3 linked regions of the Cricetulus griseus genome follow. The main gene of each other region encodes a partner of the protein of the gene in region 3 in a complex. Links are inferred from orthologs where the notes say so. Each region holds a gene or a part of one and is shown on either strand. Other genes may lie near its edges.

Region 1 (10,165 bases), about 72 Mb from region 3:
ACATGCCTACAGTGAGGGTTAAGCAAGAGCACATTAATACATGCCTACAGTGAGGGGTAAGCAAGAGCGCATTAATACATGCCTACAGTGAGGGGTAAGCAAGAGCCCACCAAAATATCAGGAGAAGGTGCTACTCTCTGGGATTTAAGATGCAGAAATGAGGTTAAACACAATTCCTGTATCGAGTCTACACAACCCTACAATTACATTATAAATGGCAAAGGGACTGGGGACATGGCTTAGAGGATAAGGGCACTTGCCACCAGGCCAGATAGCCCGAGTTCTATTCCTGGGCCAACACAGTGGAAGGAGAGAACCAACTCCTGCTAGTTGACCTCTGACTGCCACAGTACAGCATGGCATAACCCCTCTCAAGGTACAAAACAAACACACAAAAATGTAATTTCAAAAAGGATCGTGGCTGGTGGAATAAGGAAACATCCTTAGCATACCTCCTCTACAGACAGCACAGTGTATAAGCATGAAGTCTACAGCCAACCTTGGTTGTCACTATAAAGCTTCTGCATTTTCAGGATCAGAAACACAATGCCAACTGAGGCTCAAAAGTTAAAATGAAGGATGGCTGTGCAGCCCCAGGTGGGCAGAGCACAGACACACTGAGCAATGTGACCTCTTCTTCTCAACACTCACACAGAGGTGTTACAGGCAACCACACACACTAACAAGTCTGTCTGAGCTGTGAGTCCCGGGCTGGGGTGATACTTTTGCCTCGACATGGAAAACGCCCCCAACTTCCCAGTGATAAACAGCAACAACAAAGGCTTAAGAGAACACCCTTCAAACAAGACCTTTTCATTCCTCAAGAAGACTGGCAAATGCAAGACACCTCTTTTCAGAACAGTGACAGGCCTGAGGGCCCCATCCCAACCCCTCTATCATGACAAACCCTAATGAGCTCATATTCATCACGACTAAGAGTGTTCAGCTTTCATCACAATGGCTGCCTAGCTTAGTAAGCATGAAGGAGACAAGATCAAGCAAAGCATCTCTGAAACTGCTGCTGAGGAGGCTGGAGAGGTGGCTCAGGGGTTAAGAGCACTGGCTGCCCTTCCAGAGGACAGGGTTCAGTTCCTGCCCCTATGTGGCAGAAGACAGCAGTCTGTAACTCCAGTTCCACGGGATCCAATGCCCTCTTCTGGCCTCCTAGGGCACTGCAAATGTGGTACACAACATGCAGGTAAAACACCCATACACAAAAAAGAAAAATAAATGGATCTTTATTAAAAAAAACAAAAACAAACAAACAAAAAAAAACTGTTTCTGAAACATGATAAGGACAAGAGGTAGATGGGGAGATGCCCAGAAGGCATGTGTCTGAGAAGTCTGTGGAACCCAAGCCCCACTACACAGAGGGAGTAGCCAATTCTTGCCACTGAGCCCTCTCAGAAATGGAATGCTTGCAGAATGATAAAGGAAGGGGAGCGGGGACGACACCAGATCCATTGTGATCACATCCTAGAAGAGTCTGTGACAACCCATTTCAAACAAGCCACCAGATGCCACCAGTAAAAAGCTGGCAAAGTAGAAAGGCCAGGCAGAGTTCCGGGACACAACTGAGAATACACATGTATGAATTATTCATGTAACCTTGTTTCAGCACTGACCACACCTGGCAGAGTTGCTCCTTTGGGTTCAAAAGCTAGAAAATGTCAGATTCCAGAGGTGGCCAAGCACATTGTTTAAAGGAGACTCTGGGGGTCAGAAACGTGGACCACCTGCCCTATAGGAGCGGAAGGGTCCCAAGACAGACCCAACAGGGTCTCAAGATAGATCCAACAGGGCCTCAAAATAGAGCCAATCACCACTTTCTAAAAACTGGGCTAATGCCTCACAACCTGTAATCCAGCACTCAGGAGTATGAAGCAGAAGGGTTGTGATGAGTTCAGGGCACCCCTGGGTGACAAAATGATTTCCAGATAACTTTGAACCATGGAGTGATACCCTCTGGCTAACTCATCTTTCCTGGACACAGATAAAGTTTGGGGCAGAACAGTGGCAGGCACCTGTAGCCCCAGCTCTGTGGGTGGCTGATGCAGAAGGACAACTGGAGCCCAAAAGTTTGAGACCAGTGTGGCAACATGGCAAGAGCCAGGTTTGTTTCTTGTTGGCGGTTGCTAGTATTTTTCTTTTTCTTTCTTTCTTTCTTTCTTTCTTTCTTTCTTTCTTTCTTTTTTCTTTTCTTTTTTTTTTTTTTTTTTTTTTTTTTTGGTTTTTTCAAAACAGGGTTTCGCCGGGCATTGGTGGCGCACGCCTTTAATCCCACACTTGGGAGGCAGAGGCAGACGGATCTCTGTGAGTTCGAGACCAGCCTGGTCTACAAGAGCTAGTTCCAGGACAGACTCCAAAGCCACAGAGAAACCCTGTCTCGAAAAACCAAAAAAAAAAAAAAAAAAAAAAAAAAAAATCAAAACAGGGTTTCTCTGTATTGTTTTGGAGTCTGTCCTGGAACTAGCTCTATAGACCAGGCTGGCCTGGAACTCACAGAGATCCTCCTGCCTCTGCCACTAACACCAGGCTCATGTTTTTCTTTATTTTAACAAAACAAAAAACAGAAAAGAAAGAAAGAAAGAAAGAAAGGAAGGAAGGAAGGAAGGAAGGAAGGAAGGAAGGAAGGAAGGAAGAAAAAAAGAAAAAGAGCAAAGCCAGGTGTGGCGGTGCACACCTTTAATCCCAGCACCCTGTGAGCTGGAGGCTAGCCTGGTCTCAAAATCATTTCCCCCACTCCACCCAAAAAAAGCACACAGGGCTTTAGTTTCTCTGGGCGCATGTGACCATGGCTGAAGACAAAGGAGGGGCTTAAGTGAGGATGTGTGAGAGCAAACAGAACGGATGGCAGGAAGAGTTCAAAGAATGCTCCAACCCCAGCTTTCCTGAATTCTCAGGACACCTAGAGTATTGCCAACAATATGCAGCCTAGGGGCCTGCAAGATACCCATTTCTCTGGGCACCAGCTTTCAAATCAGATCTATGATGGCCTCATCACACCCCCTCCCCCATTATTTCAATCATGGCTCTTGCTAGCATACCGGCAGAAGAGCCCATAACAGGTGAAGACTCTTAGATGTGACCAGGGGGGGAGATTATGAGGAAATGTGAGCTTTGCAAACACTAAGGTCACAATCAGGGTCTCTATGAAGACTGAATCGACTCTGTATTCCAGAGGGAAAAGGCATAAAGCCGGACTCACTGCTCCTTCATCTCCACGTAGTCTTCCTCATCGTGCTTCGCCAGGTCTGTCTCACTGGCGTCCTCAGTGTCTGCGTGAAATGAGGGAAGAAATGACGGCTGAGATCAAAAGTCACAGAACTGGTATCGTGACAGCATAATTAATGGGCATCTGGGAGAATAATAAATTTCTACCCACTTCGGGTCTGCATGAACCTACTAGCAAAAATAAGTGCAGTAAATGTGGTTAAAACAAAGAAGAAAATGCCAATGCCTTTTGCATCTTGGATTTATGCTGAGTATCTGCTTTTGTTTGACATACAATCAGGAAGAGGTCACAGCAGACAGGCAGACCTGATGGAGGCCACACAGCAATGGTGTGCAGAGAGGACCTGGGTGCGTACATGCCCATCCCACCACACATTAGATATAAACGGTAAAAAGGAGGCCGTCCCCACAGCAAATTCAGTTCTAAAAACTGATATGTTTTCAAAGTTAACAGATTAAAAAAAGGGAGGTGGGGAGGAAAGAAGATCATTTTTAAAAAATTGTCCAAGCCAGGTGATGGTGGCACTTGCCTTTAATCTCAGCACTCTGGAGGCAGGGACATGTGGGTCTCTGTTAGTTCGAGGCCAGCCTGGTCTACATAGCTAGTTCCAAGACAGTTAGGGCTGTCACACTGAGAAACCCTATCTCAAAAAACCAAACAAACAAGCAAACAAACAAATGAATAAATAAAATTGAAAAATTGATCCAAAACTTGCATGGCCAAAAATAGGGGCTGGAGGCGTGGCTTAGTACAGTTAAGAAAGCTGTTCTTTGCAGAGGATAGGGATTGGTTCCCCAACATCCACATCAAATGGTTTATACTGTCCAGTAACTCCAGTTCCAGGAAATCTGGCACCCTCTTCTGGTTTCAAAGGGCAACTGTACATACGTGGTGCATATAAACTCAGACACATAGACATACACATAAACAAAAATTAATTAACTAAAAAAACATTTTCAATTATATTTATTTCGTTTTATGTATATGAATGCTTCATCTGCATGTGGGTGCACCACTTAACTTGCCTGGTACCCACAGAGGTCAGCAGGCACTAGAGCCCTTGGAGCTGGAGTTGCATATAGACAGTGCGCGAGATCAAAACCCGGATCCTCTGAAAAAAATCAGCAAGCGCCCTAAACGGATGAACCATTTCTATAGGCCCCCATATATAACAACAACAACAACAATAATAATAATAATAACAACAATAATAATAATTTAAACAGGTCTTGAGCAAATAGGTGAATCCAATAGCCCCTACATCCAAGGGGATCAAATTTTGTCTTCACATCGCCCCCTCGTGGTCATTAAAAGCAATGCAGCGTTTCACATTTCGAAATCCCTGGTTTAAAAGCCTTGCCTTCAGTTAAACCAAAAGCAATCAGTTCCTTCAACTTTCTGCTCCGCGAACGCCGCTTTTTTTTTTTGGGGGGGGGGGTCGGGAGACACTTTCACAGAGGTCCTGTCTAGAGCCAGTCAGCTATGTCCCTTAGAACTAGAGAGACTAAGAGGAGCAAGACGATACTCCTAGCAGACAGTTGAAGTAGCTTTTGCTTTTTACAGCCCGACTTTGTGCCAGAATCCTACACTCCACTCAAAGGCCTCCCCGGTTCCCCTCCGTCTCCACCTCTCTACCTAGCTTCTCCCCCACTTAGCTGGCTCCTTCCTCAGTAAACAAAGTCCAGACTGAGAAGTGAAGACCCGAGGAGCGATAACGCAGATGCAAAACACTCGGGGACTGAAGACGAATCCCGACCTCCCCCCACTCCCATGCTTCCACTTCACAGAGGCAGAGCGGATTTCATTTAACCTACCCAGGAAGTGAGGACTCCATACTACCCTGCAAGTAGGTGGGTAAACAAGCCGCTGGGCAGCTTAAGGCCACAAAAGCCGGGGTGGGTGCCAGCCACACGAATACTTACACCCGGCTGGTTCCAGGTCCCCAAGTGGAGCTAGGGGGTTAAGCATTTCGAGGAGAGACGCTGGGCATCACTGAGACCCAAGTGCACTCCGAAGTATGACTTTCTCCCCCGCCACCCAGAAAGGAGCTCAGACACCGAACGGGAACACAATCTTAAAGGGACCCCTGGTTCTCAAGAGCTCTGGCGACTTCTGCCCCCTGCCCCCTAGGCCCCCGGGCTCCGATCCCAGCCCGGGCCGCACCTTCGTCGGACTCGCGGCCCCGGCAGCTGCGCTCGTCGTCCTCGGCGCTCTCCAGCTCCTCGCTCGTCGCTCGGGCCGCCTATGTGTCCCGCGGAGATCGCGGCCGCCTGGCTGCGCCCCGGACGGCCCCCACCTCGCGGAGCCACAGCCGCGGACACCCGGTGCCCCTTGGTGCCGAGCTCCGCCCCCGGCGCCCGCGCTGGGCAACGGGGGCCTCGCGCGGACGGCCACTTCCGGGTCGGAGGCTGCCCGGAGACAGCCTGATCCCGCCATCCTCGAGGCGAGGGGTGAGACGCCGGGCTCCACGTTCTCTCACAAAGCAGCGCCTCCTTCATCGTCGTCTTTAGAATGCTCGATCGGCCGGCCACGGGGGAGGGGCGAAGGGAGGTGTCGCTGAAGTCAGGCATATCCGTGGGCAGCCCTGCCTGCGGTCAGGACCCCGAGGTTGGGAGGACACTTCCGGAGACGGCCGCCAGGCGGCGCCCGGAGTCAAAACTAAAGTGTGTGTGGAGATGGAAGCGACCTGATGGGCGGAGGCTTTGCAAAGCCCTGAATGGGTGGCAAGGTCTGTTATTCAAGCAGATGAACGAAATCAACAGTTCCTTTGGTGGGTGTGGAAGCCTAGATAGCCAGAGTGTGTGTGATACAGAAAATGAGGAGTCTGCTTCCACCCTTGCCTTAATGGGGCTTAAGAATTAAAGGCAAGTTGCTGCCATTCCGTCCCCGAGTCCAGTGAACCTATGTGTCCAGTGTACCCAGGCCTCCCTCGTGCTTCCTTTTGAATAGATTTACCGGGTAAGCTGTTTTCCTGATTTGACAAATGATCAAAGAGCTATCATTCTCCATAAAAAAAAAAAAAATAAGAAAAAACGGTGGCATCAGTTTAGAATTACATAGCCAGGCTGCCCATGGGACTGCTGCCTCCTGTTTCCTCGAATATAATTTCTAAGGTACTTTTGCCTAACCCAGTAACTAGTTAACCTGCTCATTTTCAAGTGAGCAAATAAAGCATTTCCCTACAGGAAATACGTTGGCTAAAATTCAAAAGCCAACGCTGGGCATAGAGGCGCACTGTTGTAGTACCAGCACAGGGCAGGCAGATCTCTGAGTTCGAGGCCAGCCTGGTCTACAAAAGGAGTTCCAGGACAGCCTGGGCCATACAGAGAAATCCTGAATTGAGAACAAACACAAAAAGGCAAGAAGACAGAGTTTCTGCATTTGTTAATTTGCCTGGCTGTGTACCTCACCCCACCCCACCGCCCCAAAAGGGAAACGCAGTATTACAGTTTTGCTTTAAATTAAAAAAAAAAAAAAAGCCTGTCAGTGGTGGTGCAGGCCTTTAATTCCCAGGACTCAGGAGGCAGAGGCAGGTGGATCTCTATGTGGCCAGCCTTGTCTACAAAGCAAGTTCCAGGACAGGCTCCAAAGCGACACAGAGAAACATTGTCTAGAAAAACCTAAATAAATAAATAAAAGTGGGCTCTGCTTAGTGGGTCAAGACTATAATCCCAGCTACTCTTGAAAATAAAAGCAGGAGGGACAGCAAGATCAAGGTCAGCCAGCTTAGTGAGACCATATCTGAAAACAAAATAAAAACAAGGGCCATGGATGCTGCTGGGTAGAACACTTGCCTGGTATGCTGGAAACCCTAGCTTCAATTCCTAATGCGGGGAGGTGGGGATGATGTGGCCACAGTAACACCATTCAGTTGACTCAAATCTGCACTGAAAAACGGAAGAAGTAACAAATCCAGGCAGACGAGAATGCAGTGAAAGGCAGGGTGGAACCCAATACACAGTCTTTCTGATTCTCACAGCCTTTGTGATCAAATTTATTAAATTGGCCCCAGAGAGACTTCTAAAATGGAGAACACTTGTTTTGGGTCCCATTCATTCTGACATCTCCCATTTACTACCTTGTTTTAATTAAGTCTTGGTTCTCTTTGTAAGAGATATTTCCTCTGTGTAAAATGCAAGAATTTCCAGAATGCAATGCTGGATGCGTTTCCCAGAAGTCCCAGGATCTGAAACCCCTTCCCAGTAAGAAGAGTCTTTCTTCAAGCTCATCCTCAGTAGAGGTTTGCAGAGGGGTCTCTCCTGCAGAGGATGAGGTCAGTGTGTGTGTGTGTGTGTGTGTGTGTGTGTGTGTGTGTGTGTGTGTGTGTGTGTGTGTGTGTGTGTGTGTGTGTGTATCCACCCGCTGTTGGAGTTGGATCACCTCTACTATCTTAACTCCACGTTGAGGGACTGGAGCTCCCATTAGTAATGCTATTCACAAAGCAAAGGGGGGAAAATGAAGGGCAACATTTTTGAAATCAGAATTCATTGATACAATGAATCAAAAAGTAGTTGGTTTTGTTACTAAATGGTTACAAGAAGCTGGGCCCTTCTCTTGTAATCTTGCTTGCTTTTATTTCTGTCTCCCTGATTGCTTGTCCTTCGTTAATAGTCATGGGTTTCTGTTGTATGTGTATAACAAAGACACAAACCTGGGTGATGACAGTTACCCCTTTTCTTCCATGGAGACAGCAGAGCTGGCCCAATGAGCAATTTATGTATTAAATGCTCTTCTGGAACAGGGAAACTACATTTTAAAAACCCTTTGTGACTTTAGGCTTGGCCAACTTTTATTCTTTTATTTATCTATTTATTTATTTGTTCCATAAGCCAACTTTGCCTATAAAGCCTAAGTTTTCTTCAAAATCAAGTTTCACCCCTTAAAGTCCACCACTGCTTCTCTCCCTAATATGGTACTCAGTCAGTCTGCTTAGTAAATACCTACCTCAGAGTTTGACCTGAAACTCAAACCCTGGAGCCCTGTGTTCACAACTTCAGGCCTTCTCAGGAAGCCTCTGTGTTCCCACCATCCAGATTTTAAGGGTGCCCAGTGGTTGGGATGAAGTTTGATTTGCAAACAAAGTTTAGTATGCAAATTTGGGAAAAGAGCAGTTTTATGACATGCTTTTTTAAAAAGGGGGAGGGGTAAGTGTGGTGGCCACCACACATCAGGGACAGGCAGATAGATCTCTGAGTCCAAGGCCAAACTATCTACGCAGAGTTCTAGGGCTACACAGTGAGACCCAATCTTAGATAAACAAATAAATAAGAAAAAAAAAGTTTGTAGAGCATTTACTTAGCGATAAGGCGTGTCTACGTCTGCCAAGGCCTAGGGTGAAAATGTGCCCCTGCAGAAAGCTATTTTGAGCTTCTACCGTTAACTGAAGCAACACAGCCATTTCCACAAAAATATGAGACTGGTCCTGGTGCACTTTAATCCCTGGCAAACACTATGCTTCAGCGTGGCTCAGGACGGATCCAGGTTATTGCAGGGTGCACTTGGGGTCAGAACTCAGTGTCCTTCCACCTTTGGTTCCTGAAAGCCTGTGGCCCTGAAAGAGGTTCAACTGAATATGCTTGCTGGAACCTTGCCAAAGTTAACGGGGTTCCCTACCCCAGATCCTTGTACAACAATAATAATCAAAACTCACGAAATGATTATTTCTTTTTTCACTTTTTTTTTCTTCTGTGACAGGGTCTAGCTATCTACCCCAGGTTGAACTCAAACTTGAGGCGATCTTCCTGCCTCTGCCTGCAGAGTTATTAGTTATTGGTGTTCACATCACATCGCGCCACGAATGGAAAGACTTGACTTTTCAAAATGTGTCCAGACCGCGTTAAGTACTTAGCTGTATAGAGTGTTTATCTGGTCTACAGTTTTTTGGGTTTTGCTTTTTTTTTTTTCTCTCCTTTCCATCAGTAAACTGACGTCCACTGAACGCAAGGCAAGAAAACGCCATCCCCCTGTCTGAGACCTAGGAAATATTTACAAGCCCCCAGGAGGAAAGCTTGCCTTGAGGGGGGGGAGACTAGGAGTTGCGAAAGACCTAAGCGAGAGACCTAAGAGATCGGGTCCGTCCCACAAGCTCTCCCACGGTGGTCTCCCAAGAAAAGGCAAGGCATGGGGAAGAGAGCCACGAACTCTGACCCCTGTGCTGCACAAACAAGCCTGGCCGCACCCTAGAGGGCCACGGGTAACACAATTTGAGAGAGCTTCCGCGTTTAAGAGAGCCCCGCCCCCACTGGACCCGCCCACTCCCCCAGATCCGCCAATCCCCTGGATCCATCGACCGGTCGGCCTTCCCAGGGAAGTCTAATAGAACGCCTATATGAGGCAAGAACCCCCCCGAGGCCTGGGATCAGGGAAGGTCAATAGAGAGCCTATCAGAGTGCGGCTGGGGGCGGGGTCGAGGGCGGGGCCGAGCGGGGGCGGGGCGCGCTCCGCGCAGTCGGGTGCGATTGGCCACCCCTGGCGGAGCCGCACCTCGGACAGCAGCAGCGGCGGCAGCCAGGGTCCTGCGTGGAGAGTGGGGCGCGACGCGGGCTCTCGAGCGGAGGCTGCACGTGGGGACCCAGCACGTGAGGAGCCAACACGAGAGCGACTCGGGGCACGAGGGAGAGGAGGCGCGCGGCGTCCGGGCCACGGGTGACAACGCTGAGGTGAGAGCGCGGGCGCCAGAGTGACAGCCGGAGTCCCGGCGCGGGGACCCGGCGCAGCGGTCACGAGCATCCCGGGAGAGGAGTTGCTAGCTAGCGGATCTGCCAGTGCTTCGGGGGACCGGGAAGGACCGGGACGGGGAGTGAGGAGGGGACTCCGAGTGGGACCGTGGGTGAGAGGGGACTCCGAGAGGAATGGGGAAAGCAAGATGAGAGGGCACCGAGAAATACCGCAGGTGAGCAAGGGGACCCCAAGACGGGAGTGGGCAGTGGG
Region 2 (9,567 bases), about 52 Mb from region 3:
CTGCAGAGAAACCCTGTCTCAAAACAAAACGAATACGTAGTCTGATCTCTGATCCCACCCAAACCTCTCAGGTGCAAAGGGTCACAAGGCATCTACCACAGAATCCCGGCGTCTGTGACACAGGTCAGCATTTGGACTTGATGGTGAGGAGCACTTTGAAGGTGTCCCTGAGAGACAGTCTCTTCTTTCACTGGGCACTTGAGTGCATAGGCATGTGGTGGGTATGGTTCGTGACCAGAGACCAATCTACTAATGTCTCTATTCTGGGATATCCATCCCCCCAAGCTCATTTAGAAACCGCAGTTAGGATGCCTGCATACATAGTGCTCAGCAGCTATGATCCCAGAATTACTCCGGAGCAGCAAAGACAAAAACCATCTCTGGGTGGGAAGGAGAGGGACGTTGAGAATCTGCGGGTAGAAGCTGGGCGGGGTGGCTCTTGCCTGGGGATCTGGTGCTGTCAGGATGGCCCGCTAGGCCGCTCTTCTAATCACTAGTCCCATCATTACTAACGACAGCAGCTACTGCACCCTGGCTTTCTGGCTTTTGGGATTGCCCCAGGCTGCCCCTGGCGGCACTCCTCCACCCCCATATCCAGTCAGCTGATTGGCGGAGACGCCCGCACACTCCCCGCCCCTGTGAAAGTTTGGTCCCAACGGCGCGGGACTCCTGCTCTAGCCCGAGTCCCAAACTCAAATCCCTGCACTCGGGCGGGCGTGCGGGCGTGGGAGGGCTAACTGAAGGGGTGGAGATTGACCCCAGCTGGGTCAGCCTTCCTTCGATCTGGGAGTCCCGGTGTCCCCGGCCACGGGAGCGCAGGCACGCTTGTGTTCAGGTTGCTTGCGAGGGCGTGGGGAGAGGCAGGGTAGCTAGAACGGTTGCCATCTCCCAGGTCGCTGCTCCTCGTCCCAAGACGGCGGTGGCTCGGGCGACCAGACCTATCCAAACCAGTCCTTCCGAGGCACTCGACTGCCCGTGGCTGGAGATGAAACCGGCAGGTGCGGGTCCCGCGGTCTCCCCCGGGACCGAGTCCACGGATGTGTCGCTTGGCCCGCCGTTTCCTTGGCCCTGCCCACCCGATGTGCGGCTGTGTGGCCACCTGCGGAAGCAGAAGTCTCAGCGCCGCCGCTTCTTCGTCCTGCGTGCTGACCCTCCGCGTCTGGAGTGCTACGAGAACGAGAAGAAGTTCCTCGCCAGCGGCTGCCGCCCACCTCGACCCCGGCGCAGTGTGAGCCTGGAGGGCGCCTGCACTATCAGCAAGCGCGCGGATGCCCGCCAGCGCCACCTCATCGTCGTCTACACCAGCGACAGCAGCCTGGGCGTAGCGGCGGCCAGCGAAGCTGAGCAGCAAGCATGGTACAGCGCCCTCCTGGAGGTGCGCGCCTCGGCCGCGGCAGCTGCTGCCACCGCTATGGGTGAGCCCTGGGCGACAGGGAGGGCAGGGGGTTGCCGACTTAGCTTATCCAGAACCCGTCTCCCCCAGATCATCAGAGGTTCAAATCTTAAACTTGCACGTTTTGGTTTCCTGGGACACGGTGACCCCCAATCCCTGCTTCCCAGTGACTTGCCCATTCTCTCCAGGTCTCAGTCCCCAAGAGGCCCCTGAGTCTTGGATCTTCGCCCCGTTCCAGGACGTCTGGCCTGTGACACTGAGGTCCAAGGGGCTGGGGCGTGTACAAGGCCTGAGCAGCGGCAGCTATCGCCTGTGCCTGGGTTCTGGGGCCCTGAGCCTCCTGCGGAAGCCAGGAAGCAAAGGCTCCAAAGACAGCCGGGCATCGCCACCACCCGCCCTGCGTCTGTCCTTGCTCAGCGTGCGCCGCTGTGGCCACGCAGACTCCTTCTTCTTCCTGGAACTCGGGCGATCAGCGCCCACAGGTCCCGGGGAGCTGTGGATGCAGGCACCTGATGCAGTGGTGGCCCAAAGCATTCATGAGACCGTCCTGGCTGCCATGAAGAGGCTGGGGAGCAGTGCAACCAGTGGCAAGGCTGAGCTACCATCTGGAGATCTTCCAAACAGTGCTTCTGCAGCCCCTGCCCCGACAACATACGAAACCCCTGCTTCTGTAACGCAACCAAAAAGCCCGGGTGAGAGAGCAAAGCAAGACTGCAAGACCTTGGAAAGGACGGGGCCCACACCCTCCTACAAGGGTCTAGATCTGGGCGGGGACTATATCACCATGGGCGTCAGGGATGACTATGTGCACATGGGAGGGAAGGCTGGTGACTACATGTGGATGGCACCCCCAAGCCTTCCTCCCGCCCCTGCCAGGGTAGATTCTGGCAAGTCACTTCAGGACTGTGAGGGCACAGAGTACGTGCCCATGAATAGATTTTTACCAGGGTCTTTTTACTACGAGCTCAAGGCCAGGGAGCCTGAACTTGGGCATCAGGGTGCCCCCTGCAGCATTAGGGACAGATGGGGACCCACAGAGGCTCAGCCCCGCTCTTCCCAACTTTCAGAACTATCTGGGGATTACATGTACATCCCAGACTCTGTAGGAATGAACAGTGCTAAGCCAGGGGCCCTGGATAGCTGCCTCAACTATGTGGACCTGGACCTAGTCCCGCCCTTGGAGGTGCCTGGAGCAGTCTCTGAGGATAGTCCAAATAGTTATGCCAGCATCAAGTTCTAGAACTTTTGGGGGAGATGTCAGGGGAGGAGACCCAGGCATTGGCCAATGGAGAGAGAAAGAGTTACTAGTGTTCACTTCAGCTCCTGCACAGGGGAGCAAGGGACCCTGAGGTCACCACATCCCTTGTAAGCGGCTATGCTGCCCCTTGTCTGCTCTGTCACTCCCAGCTATGTGTCACCTAAGAAACCCTCAGGAAGAGGTTCTCCCAAGAAATTAGTTTTTTTTTTAATTTTAAAGGGTTTTTAAAAATTTATTATGCATACAGTGTTCTGTCTGCATATATGCCTGCAGGACGGAAGAGGGCACCAGATCTCATAACAAGCTGGTAGTGAGCCACCATGTGGTTGCTGGGAATTGAACTCAGGACCTCTGGAAGAACAGTCAGTGCTCTCAACCTCTGAGCCATCTTCTCCAGCCCCCAAATTAGATTCTTTTAAAGAGAGAAAGTTCTAGAATCTCTCTCTGTCCCAACCCAAAAAAACCCAACCAACCAAATAGAAAGCCCCCAAACCTTACAAAGTTTGGGGCCTTTTCATCTGAGACCCTGATCTTATCTGAGGAATTCCTACAGAATCAATCTCAGGCTAGCTGTGGCCATACCATGGGGGAAGACCACCACCCCAATTTGGACAGCTCTGTCTTCTCACATATTGGGAGCTAGATGTCATTGTGTCCCCTGAACCCAAGAGCTATCCTCACTTAATGTTTTCAAGCCAGAGATGAACTCCTACGGACCTGGCTCAAAAATGATGGGAGCATCAGGGACCATGTTTAGTGTTCCTCTCCCCCAAGGAACCTGGCCTCTTAAGTCCTCCTCTGGTACCAGTCAGGCTCACCTGGCCCTTCTCTTGGCCTGGCGGAGCTGACTAAGTCCTTGCTTCCTAGAGTGCAGCCCAATCGAGAACTGTGGACCCAACCCACCCATTAAAGGTGCTCTGCACCCAGACTGTCTTGGCTGAATGGATTTCCCCACCCCAAGTAGTAGGTGACCAATGAGTAAAGGAGACTTGAAGGAAAGGCAAGTGACTGTAGTGGTTTGAAGGAACCCAACCTGCCTCCCCATCCCAGGCCCCGCTGTGTCGCCTGATGCACAGAGCCTGGTTTGCAAACTAACGGTGATTTATTGTCAGCAAAACAGCTCGGGGGAGAAGCCAGAACTAGCTGAGGGAAGGCACTATGGACAGTGGGTATCTGGGGTCTGTGTGGGACATGCATCAGTGCTTCCAGAACAGCTCTGGCCACCACTGGGGCCTGGGTCTTCAGAGGCAGAGCCAGGGTCTTGGCAGCTGGTAGAGGTCAGAGGGCTTGCCAAGGAGTTAGGTCTCAGCTCTCCCTGGCTCATCTGCAGCAGGCCAGTCAGGGCGATCATCTCTGCCTCACTGAGCCAGGTGGAAGAGCAGGCCTGGGATGAGGAGGGGCGCACAGACGAGGACATGATGGGGGGTGGGAGCAGCAGCTTCCGAGTGCCCACTGCCTGAGGAAACAGGAAGGGAAGTTCATCCCCCCAGGCCTTGCTTGGAGGAAGAAAGGAGGGAGGCTCACTCTTACCTGCTGAGGGGGCTTGGACAGGTACAGGGGAACACGCTGCCCACAGGGTAGCAGAGGGTCCAAGAGAAAGACATCTTCATAGCCTGTCACTGGGAGCCCTAAAGGAGGAGAGCCTGCTAGCTTGGTGGCCTTGGCCTATGTTAACCCTCACTGCAGCTGCCCCAGAAACATCCAACAGGTGAGGGGCCAGAGAAGTACCTGTATCCTTGGACACTTGTGCTTCTTCTGGATGCCCTGAGGTAGGGACCCTGCCCCAGTCATCATACATAGGCCAGGAAGGATGACACAGTGTCCTGCCGGACAAAGATGCGCCTGACCCACAGCTGGGCCCCTGTGGAGAACAGGAAGTGACTGTTGAGTGGCTCCATCTCTCTTATGGCACCTCTGCTACCTGGTGACTGAGCCTCGGATCCCCCAACTCACCACCAGCTGAGGTCTTGCATTAGCCTCGTGAATGGGATCCCAAAGTGGCAGCGGGGTCATCCTTGAGGGGGTGGCCTGGGAAGTCATCTGGGGAGAAAGAGGTACTGCGAAGAAAGGAGACAAGAGTAGAACAGGCTCTAAATCTCTGGGGCTTTGTGGGTGTAAACAGCAAGATCTGGTGCCTACCTGGGGCTTCCACAGTCCGCTCAGGAGCCAGGTGATTGGAGGTCGGAGGCGGCAGCTTTCTTCCGGGCTCAGATGGGCTGAGGGCCTGGGGCTGTGGACTGTGTGAAGGGAAGGACATGCTCTTCCACTCCCTTCCCTCCCCAGGGCTGGCTTAAGTCAGTCACAGGACCAGCAACCCATTTCCCAGCACGGACCTCCGAAAGCGCCCATCGCGCCTCCTAGCGGCCCACCAAGCCCTCACCTGTCCTGCGCCGGCGGTCCTGGCTTTTCCGCGGTTTCCTCTCCACAGCTCCAGTCCCCGCCGTGGTCACTGCCCGTGGACAGGCCTGCCTCCTCGTTGGCCTCCTGCTGGCCGGTGCCCCACGGCCCAAGCCAGGGCAGCATCCTGTGTCTGGTGGAGCGCCAGGCAATACCCACCCCTGCGCCCGCGTGGGGTCCTGACTGCACAGGCGCCCAAGTCCTTAGCCTACCTCAGAGGTGTCGCCACGACGCCTGCGCCAGTTTCTACAGCCACGTGGCACGCTCCCGCCAGGTTCTCAAGGGCTCCCCCTGGCGGCAGAGCCATGGGGCACTTGTGCCCTTGCAGCCCCTCTACCCAGCACAGAAACATCAGATTACCCTGGGACCCACAGTAGGGCCCATGTACCCAAGAAGCTCGCGCACTCACAGACAGGTACACAGCTGAGGGCCAACCTACAGGCCTTTGGGCTTTTCTTTATTGTGTTTGACACAACATTCTTCACCCAGACCGGGGTCTGCACCCGAAGCAGCCTAAGGGCAGGCAGATACCCAAGCGCAGTGCTACACACAGGGCCGTGGTCACCAAGTCCTTGTTAATTGGCAGGGCCCAGGTGTCATCTGTTCCCAGGACAGCTCCGGTGGTGGCTGGGGCCAAGAGCCCTAACCTCTACCCCTAAGGTTGTTCCAGAAGTGCGTGAAGGACAGCAGCGATGTGAGGGAGGCCCCTTCCAGGGGCCCCCTCCTCTTCCAGGATGTGGTGGGGCTGGCACAGGGACTCCTGGGGGGAGGGGCCCAGGTTAAGTTTTCCCCTGGCATTCCCCAAGCAAGGCTGGCGGGGTGGAGGGAGTGGGGGCACGCTCCTGGTAGACACATGGAAGCTGTCAGCAAATGACAGAAGGGTGGTAACACAGAAGGCTCAGGGGCAGGAGAGGCCTGTCATTTCCAAAGGGAAATGCTTGTATAGGCAGGCTGACATAAACGGAGCCCAGGCAGGACAAGGCCTGGCTGCAGCAGGAGCTCACACAGCACACACAAAAGTGACAATCTATACAATTTATACACAGAACCAGGGGCCCATAATGGGCCCACATCCCCTACAAATATAGAGTTCTCTCTCTCTACAAAATAGAGATAATTTAGCTCCCCCATAGCAGCCAGTAGGGGGAGGGAGGTGAGAAGGGAAACAGCCAAGGTCTGTCATCCCTCTGGGGGACAGAGGGCTGGCTAGTGGGAGGACATGAAGGCACCATCAGCACTAGTGGGGTAAAGGGCTACTGTGGGCACTAGAGTGGGGCTTCTGAGGTCAGTGTCTGTGAGGGGTACACTAGTGTCTTTGGTAGGGGCTGAAGGCACCACCGGTGGGGACATGGTTGAACAGGAGGACTTATAAATAGAAGGTAGGGAATGAAGGGCAGCGTGGGTCCTAGGAGCCCAGGAGCCGAGTGTACACGGCATAGAGCAGCAGCATGGAGGCCACGTAGAAGAGGAGGAAGCCACCCAGACCAGAGGAGGGCTGGGCTGGGAGGGGGGCCTTGCCCCCAGCCAGGATCACAGCCTCCAGTGTGGTCCGAAGCCCCTGGGTGGTGCCCCGGAGGAGATCCGAGGGCGAGCACAGGTCAGCCTGGGAAGGGAGGGCAGGGCAAATGGACAAGGGCAAATGACACATGTTAGAAGCATCGAGCCACAGACCTTCCCACCCTTGCCTTCACAAACCAGGACCACAGCCAGAGCCATACCAACAAGCAGACATGCAGGACAGGGAGACAGGAGGGAGAGCAGGGCAGGACTGTGAGGGGTGGGCCCAGGACACAGGCTTCCTGTAGAATTAGATGCCCAGTGGATTGAACCCCACCCCTCATGCATGGTGTTCAGCTGAGCCCAGAGCAGAGTGGCCCCATACCTCAGGGACACCCATCTTCCGACAGGCTTCTAAGAAACTCTCTACATTCTTCCGAGACTTGAGGGCACTGAGCTTTGGCTGGGGGTGGAGGGAATAGAAGAGTTGGAAAGGCACAGCCCCAGTCTTGCCCCACCCCCTCCCTCCTCCTGCTCCCACTGACCACAGCAGGTGAGGGCACATGAATGAAGGGTACAGAGCGAGGCCGTAGCTGGTTGGCCAACTGGCAGAGGATGACCCCACTGGCGAGAGCCTCCGTCAGGTCCTCAGGCAGGGGCTGCTGCAGCCGTGACTCAAGGACCTGGAAGCAGAGACAAGAGAAGCAGGTGGGATCAACAGAGAAGTCACTCCATCCCTTCCCCTCCTCGATGACAGTTCTGGGACAAGGAGGAGTTGAGGGCTGTATGGGTCCTGAGGAAACAAAGGGGAATGAGGTGCCATGCTGGGCCAGGCCTCTGTCTACACAGATACCACTCTGCTCACCTGTCGAAGTTGGGACATGAGTTCCTTCTCATCTAGAATCTGAGGAGACGGCCGAGGTCTCACAATAGACTCTGGAGAGGAAGGGCCTGGGAGGTAAAGGGAATGGGGACAGCTCTGCTTCACTGATAAACTTTGGAGCCAGCTCCAACAGTCTCACACCAATACCACCTCCTGCCTGGGAGATTTTTCACAAAAAGGGACAACACCCTGGGGCTGGAGAGTTGGCTCAGAGTTTAACAGCACTGGTTGCTCTTCCAGAGAACCTGGGTTCAATTCCCAGCACCCATATGGCAGCTCACAGCTGTCTGTAACTCCAGTTCCAGGGGATTTGACACTGCACACAAGAGTATATACAGGCAAAACAGCAGCACACATCAAACAAACAAACACAGGAATAACGCCCTGAGAGACACAGGTCCCACAACATAGGAGTCCTGAGGGCAGACTCACCTGAGCCACTCTGAGAGGATGAACGGAAGAGGAAGCTGTTTGGTCTCTGAATGGAGCCCAGTGGCCTGGGGACAGGAGCTGTCACTGGGGGAAAGCCAAGGGCAGGCAAGAGACACTCCTCAGTGGCCCACTCTTCCCCCAGGCCTCTATGTCCCAAGCACCCCGAAGCCACCATCTAAAATGCTATCCCTACCTGGTCCAGACACAGGGGTGGGCTCCTGGGAGATGGAGGATGGCGTAGGAGCTCCCTGCCCCCCTGAAACTTCCAGTTGGGTAGCACTGGACTTCGGTGGGCCACTGAAGGAAAAGAAGGGACTCAGAGAAGGCCACGAGGAAGGTGTAGGGAGATAGATCTTGGGAGGACACCTACTTGGAGGTGGCCTGTGTGGATGAGGCCGAAGCACCCGTGGCTCTGGTCCCCCGCTTCAGGACACTGGAAGAAGCAGATGAGGGATAAGCTGGACAGTCAGGCCACACATTCAGAAGAAGGGAAGGGTTTTCATCTGCCTGCTGTCTGTAGCTATCCCAGCCCCAGGCCCTTACCTGTCCCTCCTGGGGGATCCCCACCCCCCACTCTGTTGTTGCTGCTGCCTCCGCTCCCGCTCCTGCCACAACTGCAAAGTGTCTGGGTGCCGCCTCTCCTCCCCTGCAGGCTCCTCCCGCCTGGCAGAAGACAGGACAAGAGAGATCTTTGTCAGGTAAAGGGGAGGTGCCAGGGCTGGTGAGTATGGGGCAGCCCAGTGGGTTTGGGGTTGGAATACCTGCCGCTCCCTGTCCTCTCCACATCCCCTGCTACAAGGCTTAATTCAGAAGGTAGCTGCTCCTGGAGAGAGAAGAGCAGAGGCTGACACAGGCCTGGTCCCCCGGGGTTGCACCAACTTCCCCATTCAGTGCCCCTTCACCTGGACAGGGACATAACTGGGCCCTCACCTCAGCTGCATTTCGCTCTTCATCTTCCCCCAGAACATGGCTGTCAATGAAGTCAACCTGCTCCAGGTCTCCATCGCCTGCAGGGCCAGGGCCAGGGTGAGCAAACAGGAGGGGCTTCCAGGCCCACACTCACCCTTCACCCTCTTGGGCAGACTCCCTTGCTCACCAGAGCCATCTTCCCTCTGCTGTCTGGGCACCCGGGGCTCCCGGGCCAGCTCTGAGATCCGGAATGACAGCTCTGAAAAATCATCTGTGGACTTTGAGGCAGAGAGGCAGAGATGGGTCATGTGCTAATCTATCTGCAGGGCTGAGGGCCACAAGGGTTCAGGCCTGAAGAGTCTGAGACTAGGGTCAGGTGGGGAGCCACCAGCCTCCTGGGGATAGTGAGGAGGAGTCCCAGCCATGACTTCTTACTGGGGGGGTGGGGGTATCAGGTACAGGTCCCCAGTACTGAGTCCCTCCCAGTGGTGACATCCTCAATGTCCTTACCAAGGAGGTCCTTACCTCATTTCCTGACCACCTCTTGCTGCCACTGTCAACACTATGGAAGCCCGAGTCCAGGCCGCCATCATACCGACGTCCCGGAAATAAGTCTTCAGCAGGGCTGGAGCAGCCAGGGAGACCTGATCAGCTCCATGCTGGCATCACCCCCACCCTCCCACTGGAATCCAGGGGTGGTCTCTGGTCCCAAGGACCTTCCTTCCCTCACCAAGGGCCTTACCAAGGACTAAAACCTGGGGGATGGGAAGGGACCAGGTCCCCAAGGGCAGCTCCCCG
Region 3 (10,333 bases):
TATGCAATAAATTCATAATGGCCAAAGTAACTCTCCAACACAGGTTGGTAGGCTATGCCTCACAGATTTCATACAGCTCAACCTACTTTGTATCTAAAAAGAGCAACATTAACCTTTATGGACTATTACAGAAAAATCAAAAGAACACTAAATTCAAATTTACGTATGTAAAGCTAAGCTTATGTAACAAAACCTTCAGTCAAGAAATTAAGACTTCTTTTATTTATTTTATTTTTTTGGTTTTTCGAGGCAGGGTTTCTCTGTGTAGCTTTGGAGCCTATCCTGGCACTCGCTCTGTAGACCAGGCTGGCCTCGAACTCATAAGAGATCCGCCTGCCTCTGCCTCCCGAGTGCTGGGATTAAAGGCGTGCACCACCAACACCCGGCTAGAAATTAAGACTATTTTACTTAACAACAACAACAACAACAACAAAACCTCTTCGAAGCCAGCCAGGGATACAGAGTGAAAGCCCTAACTTAAAAAGAAAAAGAAAAAAGAATCAGGCCTAGTGCCTTAGATAAACTCCAACATGCTCAACCACACCATTAAAAAAAAAAAATCCTTTGTCAAAGACCTGTTTTTGAGATTAAAATGTAAATTTAATCCTTTGAGCAAAACTAAAATCTCACCTTTGTGAGCAGCTCGAAGCGCAAAACTGAGTTTAAAGTCCTAAAATACCAAAAACAGCCGCAAATTTTAGCTTATCTACCCACTACTCCTCTGATGCGAATCGCAAATTTTAGGCATCTGCCCACTACTCCTCTGATGCGAAGTCTCCGCCCGGTAAAGCCACAGTAGCTGAGCATCAAGAGAAGTCCAGGAAAGGTTGGCGCCCTCCACATTTCCAGCCCCCGATGCCTCTGCCCCTCCCCCACCAGCCACTGCCGCGGAAGCATGGGCACAGCACCAGCCGCACCCCACCGCAGGCACTCCTGAGGACGCTGAGCATCTCCTCCCAATAATTACGACTAAGAGGAGCAGCTGACCACGATTCTACACTCTCAGCTGTTACGGCACCATCCACGATGCTAGGAGCAAAGTAGAGAGGACTACTCTCTGGGCCCCGTCGCCCCAGGCAGAATAGGAGGAGGAGCCACAGCATGAAGTCCGAACACCTCCACCGCTCCGCGTCTGCAAGAGCCCCTCCCACCCAAAGGGACGGAAGGCGGGGCAGACACAGAGCCCCAACTCCAGGCCAGACGCCGACAGCGGGCTTTCCCCAGCGCTGCTTCACTGCCAAGGAGGCGGAAACCCCGGCGGGGGCGGGGCCGGAGGGGCGTGGCATCGCAGCCCCGAACGCGCCTTCCGGCCAACCGGATCCCACGAAGGCGGGGGAACACCGTCTTCACGCCCCCTCGCCGCCGCGCCCTAAAAGCAGCACGCGGGAGACCCCCTTCCTGTCCCGCACACCCCGCGGGCCCAAAGCAATGCAGCCCAAGGCCCCACCCACACGGAGGGGAGGAGGGGCGGGGCCGCAGCCGCGGGCATTAAGCGCGAGCCCGTCCCGCCCCTTTCTCCACCACCGCACGCGCGCCGGCCCCGCCTCTGATCGGCGGGACGAGGGCCCGCCCCTCCGTGCGCACCGGGACTACGCTCTCCTCCCCCTCCCGCACGGAGTGCGGCCCCGCTCCGCCCCCCATAGCCACGCACGGGAAGCCGAGGTCAGCCCCCCCGAAAAACACACGCCCTCCAGTCCTAGGTTACCCGCCACCCAGCTGCCGGGTGGACCGCGACGCGGCGTGCTCTCACCGCAAAAGCTCCAGCCACTCAGCCTGCGCGTCCCTCCCGGCGTGAGCCTCGCACCCAGCACGGAGGCCCCGGAACGGCGCGGGCACAGGCCCGCAAGAGCGGACTGGCAACCTCCTTTGCGCTCACGAAGCGGTCACAGGCCTGGGTGCCCAGACTGGGAAGGAGGGAGGGAGGGAGGGAAACTCTAAGGGGGGAAGGGGAGGGGGGAAGATGGAGAAACCGTCTCTGCCGCCTCTACCGCCGCGGCCGCTTCTCTGTTACCCGGGAAATCCCGCCCACTCCCAGCCCGCCCCGCCGAGGGAAGGCTTAACCTCGCTCCGCCACGGGATGTATTAGCCATCCGTCAAAGGTTTAGCCAATCACCACGCCCTACAGACCTACACCCGCCTCCTTCCTCGCTGGGAGGGGAGGGCGAGGCGCTCACCTTCTCCACGCCCCTATTGGCGGGGAGCGTCCCTAACTCAACCCCGCCTATTGGAGACTGATTGCCGAATCCCTCCCCCAGGCTGCAATATTATTGGAGGAAGAAAAGCACCTTGTCACATCTCATTGGAGAGTCCCATATATCCCTCCCCATTACCGCCCCAGCCACAGGCCTAACAAATCGGCTCCCGCCTCCGCCGGTCACCGCATTGGAAGGCTACCTTTGGTTCTCTCACAGCCCCAGGAAGGTAAGTAACCAATGTGGGGTAAAAATGTCCGTAAGTGAGACTGACTCCACCCACCACACTGCTGGGCCAGGCCCCGCCCCCAGCAATCTGATTGGATTATCTTGGCGCCGGTAGGAGCCGCCATTGGACACGGCGCCGGTCCAGGAAGGAGCCCATTCTGCCTTGCGCGAGGATGCTGAACCTTAGCAGTCCTTTTGTGGAATGTTTACACTAGAGACTGAAGCTCAAGAGTTCCAAGGCCCGAACTGGACATGGCTTGGAGCTCATCAGTCAAAACCCGAGGCTTTAGGATTTGAAGAGGAACAGCAGTAGTATTACCACCGCGGAGGACTTACCAAAACAATGACAGAGGATCTTATCCTTCCTACCCACTTAGCTTTACACTTTTCACTGTCTCCTAAATACAGCCAAGACCCAAATTAAGGTCTTGAGCTCTAAACTGATACACAAACCCAGAGATTACAAGCCAGTCGCTAGGGGTGGCCGCATACTGTGACACTCCGACAACTCCAATATGCAGCCCTCAGGGGGCGGAGACAACCCAGCGGAGGCCTTTAAATGTCACCGCCTGGGCAAGCCTCCGGAGGGCGGAGCAAGAGGCAAAATGAATTCCCTATTGGCAGGGTAGATCCAGAGACATTTTAGGCCAGGGAAACCGAGATGCAGAAAAGCTCAAACAGAGCACGGTATAAATAAACCTTGAGGATGCATTCATATTCAGAAGATGAGTAAAAATTCCAGTGTGTGTGTGAAGGGGTGGTCTTGAGAATGGCTGTTCAAAGCGAAGAGACTGTAATCCCAACTATCTGGGAGAATGAGGCAAGAATATTGCTTAAATTTAAGAACTCTAGACCAGCCTCTTTTTAAAAAATGAGGGGGCACCCATAGCTTCCTTGAATGCCTGAAGCACACAAGTGTTTTAAGATATCTAGCTCCTTTCATTTATTCATCAATAAGGTGTTGGCCCAACGCGGACGTTGCTTTGAGGGTGCTTTTGCTGCGCCATGAGGAACAGTTCCAGAACTAGTCTATCAGAGCTCTGCAGTTAAAAAAATGAATTCTCCCTAGAATTAAGTGTTCTTCCCCAAGTGATTACTGCACGGGGAAACGTTTCGCAAACCCAGTGCTGCCCTCCTGTAATCCTGAGAAGACTGCCATAAATAAGCGTTGGCAACAGGTGGGTCTGACTCCTAGCATGGCTCCATGCCGCGAGGCCATAATGAGTTGTGAACTACAAGAGTGGCCGACAGGTGGGAGAAGTCACACCGGTAACCAAGCCAAACCCTGCCCCTGGATAGGGCTCTAAAAATAAGAAAATCACTGAGTCAAACCGCCCAGAGGTTGAGAAAGCAGCGCTCCAGAACTGACAGATACCATGCAATGAACCGCCTCACCCACTACACTACCTACCATACAGCACTCCCACCATGGTATCAACAAACACCCCACCCCACCCCCGAATCCTTGCCAGAAATAGGCCTTCTAGACTTCCCTGGACTGCAAGAGACCGAAGTATCACAGATCTTGCCTAAGGTTCCATCACTAGGTTGTCATAATCAGATTCCGCCGACTAAGGACCACGACTGTCTTGCCAAGGGAATTAAGGATGCGGCCAATGTTCAAGCTTTCTCAAACTTAAATTTAAGGAAGTCAAGGGGCACGGAGAAAAACAGCACCGGTTGACCCGAACTCATTCCCTCCCCTCAATTCGGCAGACCCGGAGCTACACTTTGCAGAGCAACAACGTCAATTGTAAGGCTTCACCTCGAGGGCTACCAGATCTCTAGACTCGGAAGAATCTTTGTGTGCCTCCAAGGCTTTCCCCGCCCCCCTTACTAAGGGCGCGGAGCCTGAGACTTCCGGGCGGGAGGGAAGTTGCAGGGAGCTAGGCGGGCCGCAAACATGTGCCGAGCGCGCTCACGAGAAGCGGGGGCAGGGAGCAGGAGTACGTCCCCTCCTAGCTTGTCCTAGAAGGGGAAGGCCTATCCAATTCACCAATCAGAAGCAGGGGCGGGGGCTTGCACCTAGCAAAAGCCCCAGGAATCCTCCCTCCGCCCTTCGAAGAAGAAAAAATTTAGCAACTTAAACTCCAGTCCAGCCTCCCGATAGGCGGAGCTCTAGAGAATGTCATCCAATCTGTACACAAGAAGGGGAAAAAGGGACTCGCGTCCAACCAGTGGAAGACAAGAGAAGGCGGAGCCTCAGAGAGGCTGGAGTGGGTGGAAGAGGAAATGGCCCCGCCCCTCTCTGGTCCCCTCCAGGCCGGTTGCACAAGCTCCCCGCAGGAGATAGTAAACAGTCTGGGCCAGGCAGCAGAAACTGAGGTGGCCGCTTACTCTGAAGACTGCCCCTGAGCCTCCCCTCCCCTCACTATACCGCCACTGCCCGCACTTTGCGCCGGCGCCCCGCCTCTAGGCCCGCCGCCGCCATCCGGCTGACAGGCGCGCCCCTCCCCTCCCGCTGATGCATTTCCTTTTCCCTATTCCAAGCGTGGAGTCTGTTTTCCCAGTTTCCGACCTTCACTGCCCCTTTCAGGCCACCCCTTCGTGAGCGCGCGCGCGCGCACGGCTGCCCCCACCCCGTACGCGGCCCTGTGGCACGCAGCGGCACCTCGCGGAAAGAGGGAGCCCAGGCAGCGCACTACGCGGGGAGGGGGAGCAGTCGCCGCCGCCGTGAGGTGGGCGGGGAAGGAGGCAGCTCCATGTTTGCAAGGGGATCAGCTGGGGCCGCGAATCGAATCCGCCGAGTTCCGAGAGCTTTTCGACACTCAGCTAGAGCTCCGCGCCGAATCACAGCCTTTCCGGCTCTGGCGCCGAATACTTGCTAGATTGCCACGGTTCAGGAGTTCAGACACCGGCGCCTCCCGTGGTTAGTGGCCAGAACCCCTCCCGCCCCCAGTCTCCTCCTGCAAATACAGCATTGCTCCCGCCCCCAGAGTCCTTAACAACCGCGGGTCCAAGGTGGCGCGCCTCCCCAGAGCTCGCCCACCGACCCCTCCAAGTTTGGCGACAGAAACAAACCCTCGGGGCGGCTGCTGCACTCGCCCAGCGTGGTTAGCGGAGAAAGACCGCCGGCCCCGGCTTGCTCTAAACTCCAGCGGTCGACCAACTCCGGGACACCGTGAGCTCCGTGGGCCCGACCCACCAAGCTGCGGCCGCCGCCCCCTGCCGAGCCCGCGCGCCGCAGTCCGGGCCCTGTTCCATTCGCTGTACAGAAATCCCTCTTTTTTTCTTTATGCGATTTTTCTTTTAAAATATTTTTAAAGCATTACAAGAGCAGTTGGTCTCCGGTCGGCCCATTCCCCAATGCGTTGCCTAGACTTACCGAAACCGACTGCTTGGTAAATTAACTGGGTGGCGCGGCCGGCGGAAGGGCGACCCCAGGCCAGGCCGGCCCCCTCCCCACGGCTCCAGTCCGGCTTGGAAACACACTACGAGCGGGCGGCGCCAAGCGCTCTTCTTCCTGGCCTGCCCCTAGCCTACCTCGGCCGCGGGACTCCGAGACTCCTCGCAGCTCGGTCTTGGAGACCGCGGTACCCACACAGCTTGTGCCAGCCAAAGCAAGCAGCCAAGGAACTAGCCCCCCAAAAGACCGAAATTGGGGAGACCAAATTAAAAGCAGCTGTTTAACATACCTTCGGAACCAGGCGAGGAGTCCTGAATGGGAGGGAACGCCCCCCACTAGCCATTGGCTCTTCTGTACATACGTCAGCACTCTGGGTCCGCCTCCTCCCTCTCCCCGCCCCTTCCCCTTCATTGATCGCCCCTTGCCTCCACAAAAATAAAAATAAATAAATTAAACTAACCAGGAGTTGGATTCTCATCCGAAACAGAGGTTCTTACATCTCCCACACTGCCTCTTGAAATTTTTCGGAGACTTCGGACTAGTCCTTTTGAGATTCGGAGTTCCGCAGCGTGGAAGATGCATCTTCATTACCCGGCCTCAATTTCCTTCACACACACACAATCCATTTGGTGCTGGGTCAGGAGAAACGTGTAGCAAGCAGTCTGTGATCCTACCATCTGGACGCGCCAGATATCAGAAGCGAAGCAGGGTCCAACCTGGTTAGTACTTGGATTAGAGGCAGGCAGCTAGTGGCTGCAACATCTAGGCTTTACTGTTTGAACCCTATTTCCAGCCTACATTGTTAGGTGCCTTTCAGCTATGAAATCTGAAAACCGGGAAAACTGGCACTTCTCTGAGTATCCACGGGTAGAGGGCGGGAGCACCGGGTGTCGGTGAATCGGACATTTCACTGTATCTGCTACAGAGTGCAGATTTGTAAACAGGCTGAGATGTCCTTGATCCCCTCCAAACACTTCAGATCCAGATAGGTGCCACAGGAGGTAAGGCAAGGTTGTATGTGTGTGTGTGTGTGTGTGTGTGTGTGTGTGTGGTGTGTGCGTAAATCCAGTCACTCCAACATGAGGAATTGCGTTTAGCTATCAGCTGAACAAATTCTGAAAGTAGGCTGGACAAAAAGGATGCCAATAGTCAAGGAGGGAAGCGCAAAGGCTGTAATGTGGGTTTACAGACTTCAGAGGGGTATCTTGGGTCGGAGAATAGACTGGAGAAAGCAAAGGGAAATTATCCTCCTCACCACCCAATCAGAAAACTATCCTCACTTTCAACAATCCTCAGTTGAAGCTCCTTACCTGCCTCATTTGCTATTTATCATTAACTATTTATTCACAAGAGCTGAGCTGAGCAGAGCCGTGGCACACAATGTGAGCAAGAAACTATTTTGTTGTTGTTGTTTCCTTTTATTTGTTTTGTTTTTCAGGCAGGATCTCATGATCTCAAACTCATAGCAGATGTCATTAACTTCTTCCTCAGCCTCCCCAAGTACTTGGATTATAGCTGTGAACATGTTTTTTTGTGTGTGGGGGGGTGGGGGTTGTGTGTGTTTTTGTTTGTTGGGTTTTGTTTTGTTTTGTTGTGCTGGAAATCAAACCCAGGGCTTCATGTATGCTAGGCAAGCACTCTTCCAGCTGAGTGCTTGGTACAGCCCAGCCCCCAAGAAACACTTGTTTTAGAAGTCATTGAAGAAAGGGAGTTAACTGGGATATCAGGTAGGGTAATGAACAGGAAAGGATGCTCTGCCAGTTAGACAACTTCCAGTAACCTGAGTTACTTGAAAGAACTTTACCAAGCTTGGTATGATGACGAATGCTTGTCATTGCATCAGTTTGGAGGCAAAGGAAAGAAGACCTTGAGTCCAAAGCCAGCATAGGCTATATAGTAGACCTGGTATCATTTAAAGAGAGCCTATTTGAGGAAACCTCAAGGAAGAGTAGATAAATGGTTCAGTGTAGGTAATAGAAGAGGTAGCCAGTGTCCTTCTGTGGTTACTAGAGGGCTAGCATAGCCAATGATTGGTGGTGTTATACTCAAGTAAATCTCTTCTATTTTGGGGTGAAAGTGAGTACACAGAGGAGTCCGTGGAGATAATGTAAGGATTCTTCCCTTACTTAGAGTCCATGTGGGAAGCTGTCATTGAGGGAGACTGGGCAGGCAGGAAGAAGTACCAATCTAGGAAGGGCAGTGGTCATTCCAGCTGGTATATGGGAACTGGAATGTGAGTGGTAACTGCAAAAAACCAAGTAGAGAGGAAAGGTCAGGAGATGAGAACAATGGGTTCAGTATGAGGCCTGACAGGGCCATGGAAGTCACCGCTCATTCTTCCTAGATGAGGATCAACTTTTAGCTGAAGATAGAAACAAATACTGTATTAATGAGTTGAAGCACAGTAGTACTGCACAGAGAACATTAGGCAGAAAGTCCCATTGATGTTGGCTTCCATTTAGTTCATCCTTATCTGTGAGTCCACCTGCTCTAAGGATAACAATTCTTACTATGGTATGAGGATCAATATAATTACTGCCTAGTAAGGTTCTGAATCTCAGTGGAGGCCAGAAGCCTAGGCATTTGACTATTGTCCTGAAGAGCAAGTGGCATACTGTAGTTATGTAATTTGTGTGCACAAGCATGCACACATATGCTTATGTATGATTATGTGACCATAGACAGGTGTGTACACCAGTGCATATTTGAAGGATGTTAAGTGTCCTGCTATCAGCCTCTGCCTTATTCCCTTGAGGCAAGCTCTGTCCTGAATCTGGAACTAAGCTGGTGGCCAGCAAGCCCCAGTGATTCTTCTGCCTTCCCATCCCCTACTCTCCAGCTCTTGGGTTATAGGTATACATGTAAAAAGAAACCATACCAGTCTGAGTTTTTTGTTTTGTTTTTAAGAGACAGGGTTTCTCTATGTAGCCCTGGCTGTCCTGGAACTCACTCTGTATAGGAGAGGGCCTTGAACTCTGTCTGCCTCTGCCTCTGCCTCTGCCTCTGCCTCTGCTTCCCCAATGCTGGGATTAAAGGTGTGCACCACCACTGCCCAACCATACTGGGCTTTTTACATGGGGAATGGGAAGTTTAATTCAGGTCATCCTGCTTGTGCAGCAAATGCTCTTACTCAATGAGCCCTCTCTCTACCTTCATTATGGAGAAAGGAACACCCCTTGGATTGAGCTCTTTGAAAGGACAATTCACCTTTGGGGGGTCTCAGTATTCAGTATAGTCAGGGGCCCAGGAAGGGACCCAATGACTATTTCTGATTCAGTATTGGGTAGACATTATCCCGACCGTGCCAACGATTCTTCCCATTTCTCACTCCCCTAGTAGTGAAGGTACAATTGAATGGATCTGGATGAGTATCCTTGGAAAAAACATCAGGATGTGTTTGTGTGAAATACCCTGGTCGTTTTCTGTTGGACACTATTATCTGTGATTATAGATTAGCACATTGAAGCCTCAACCAGTAGAGGTACTTGCCTAAGTCCAAATCCTAAGTTTGTTCACTCCCCCGTATACTGTTTCTGCATACCATCCAAGTTGAGGCCTTTAGAAAGAACACCCTGCCTTCTCTCCTGATGCACAAACCTTACTTCCCTGCTTCTAACAGTACTTTGTCATCAGATAGTTGAGAAAAATTGTATTCAAAGAAACAAGATTTGCCTCCCAGCTACATACAGATATGGGTCTTTAATTCACAACATGTATGTTCAAACTGTCACCCTCCATCTACTTCATGGATATGACATACTCATTCTCATTCACAAAAAGGAACTCATTCACATACCAGTGTCTCTGGTCTATCTTCTCTTCCCAAGTACTGGAATTAAAAGCATCTTCCACCCATGTTGATTTCCATGGGTGCAGGAAATTGAACTCGGTTCTCCATTCTTGTGAGGCAAACACTTGACTATCTGTACAACCTGTCTCTCAGTCCTTAGCCTCCCACCACAACACACTTTTGGGTTTTTTTTGTTGGTGGTGGTGGTGGTGGTGGGTTTTTTTTTTTTTTTTTTTTTTTTTTTTTTTTGGACATCGTTTCACATAGCTCAGGCTGGGTTAGAATTCATGATGATCCTTCCCAAGCCTCCTTGAGTCCTCAGTGCTAGTAATAAAAATATGAGCACTTGGAACACAAATGTATTTAGCTCTTTTTAACTTTCAAAAAAATTTGAGCTAGGATCTTACTAGTTGCCTAGCCTGGACTTTGAACTCCCTTTGCTTGTGATCTTCCTGCCTCAAGAGTCAGTTAGGTGGGGCTGGAGAGATGACTCAGTGGTTAAGAGCATTGACTGCTCTTCCAGAGGACCTGGGTTCAATTCTCAGCACCCACATGGCAGCTCACAACTGTAATTCCAGTTCCAGGGGATCTGACACCCGTGGAAAAACACCAACGTATGTAAGATTAAAAAATAAATATCAAAAAAAAAAAAGTCAGGGGCTGGAGAGATGGGTCAGAGGTTAAGAACACAGGCTGTTCTTCAAGAGGCCCTGAGTTCAATTCCCTGCAACCACATGGTGGCTCACACCCATCCCTTAAGAGATCTGGTCCCCTCTT

The links.
Region 1: the proteins of Sin3a (region 3) and Suds3 are in contact, whole or in part, in an NMR structure (PDB 2N2H), measured with the Mus musculus proteins. The link is inferred for Cricetulus griseus from reciprocal best matches to the Homo sapiens genes SIN3A and SUDS3. Residues at the interface, in NP_001103821.1 of Mus musculus: Glu616, Glu619, Leu620, Val623, Arg672, Ile673, Tyr674, Ala675, Lys677, Asp680, Ile681, Ile691, Ala692, Ile695, Val696, Arg699, Met702, Lys703, Glu706, Trp707, Glu709, Ala710, Phe714; in NP_848737.3 of Mus musculus: Ala205, Leu207, Asn208, Tyr209, Leu210, Leu211, Gln215, Ile216, Glu218, Asp219, Leu220, Thr222, Leu223, Leu226.
Region 2: the proteins of Sin3a (region 3) and Sap25 are in contact, whole or in part, in an NMR structure (PDB 2RMS), measured with the Mus musculus proteins. The link is inferred for Cricetulus griseus from reciprocal best matches to the Homo sapiens genes SIN3A and SAP25. Residues at the interface, in NP_001103821.1 of Mus musculus: Leu121, Lys122, Val123, Ala126, Leu127, Leu130, Tyr144, Phe147, Leu148, Met151, Lys152, Phe154, Lys155, Thr161, Val164, Phe182, Phe185, Leu186, Pro187; in NP_001075431.2 of Mus musculus: Ala208, Glu209, Ile211, Ala212, Leu213, Ala214, Gly215, Leu216, Leu217, Gln218, Met219, Ser220, Glu223.

What each region holds. Positions count from the first base shown.
Region 1 is NC_048597.1:97,073,733-97,083,897, forward strand, and holds the start of Suds3 (sin3 histone deacetylase corepressor complex component SDS3), read right to left. Parts: upstream 5,806-10,165; coding exon 5,557-5,805; intron 5,478-5,556; coding exon 5,399-5,477; intron 3,279-5,398; coding exon 3,209-3,278; intron 1-3,208.
Region 2 is NC_048597.1:116,542,994-116,552,560, reverse strand, and holds Sap25 (histone deacetylase complex subunit SAP25), read right to left. Parts: upstream 5,334-9,567; 5' UTR 5,175-5,333; coding exon 5,032-5,174; intron 4,889-5,031; coding exon 4,791-4,888; intron 4,709-4,790; coding exon 4,605-4,708; intron 4,513-4,604; coding exon 4,380-4,512; intron 4,280-4,379; coding exon 4,182-4,279; intron 4,108-4,181; coding exon 3,808-4,107; 3' UTR 3,735-3,807; downstream 1-3,734. Other genes in the region: insulin receptor substrate 1, read left to right, coding at 986-1,415, 1,582-2,633; Lrch4 (leucine-rich repeat and calponin homology domain-containing protein 4), read right to left, coding at 6,454-6,651, 6,931-7,008, 7,091-7,228, 7,411-7,496, 7,861-7,944, 8,054-8,157, 8,231-8,293, 8,404-8,523 and 5 more. UniProt on the Homo sapiens protein: Involved in the transcriptional repression mediated by the mSIN3A but not the N-CoR corepressor complex.
Region 3 is NC_048597.1:168,592,344-168,602,676, reverse strand, and holds the start of Sin3a (paired amphipathic helix protein Sin3a), read right to left. Parts: upstream 6,082-10,333; 5' UTR 6,056-6,081; intron 5,766-6,055; exon of another isoform or gene 5,746-5,765; intron 1,888-5,745; exon of another isoform or gene 1,751-1,887; intron 1,122-1,750; exon of another isoform or gene 988-1,121; intron 834-987; exon of another isoform or gene 631-833; intron 1-630. UniProt on the Homo sapiens protein: Acts as a transcriptional repressor. Corepressor for REST. Interacts with MXI1 to repress MYC responsive genes and antagonize MYC oncogenic activities. Also interacts with MXD1-MAX heterodimers to repress transcription by tethering SIN3A to DNA.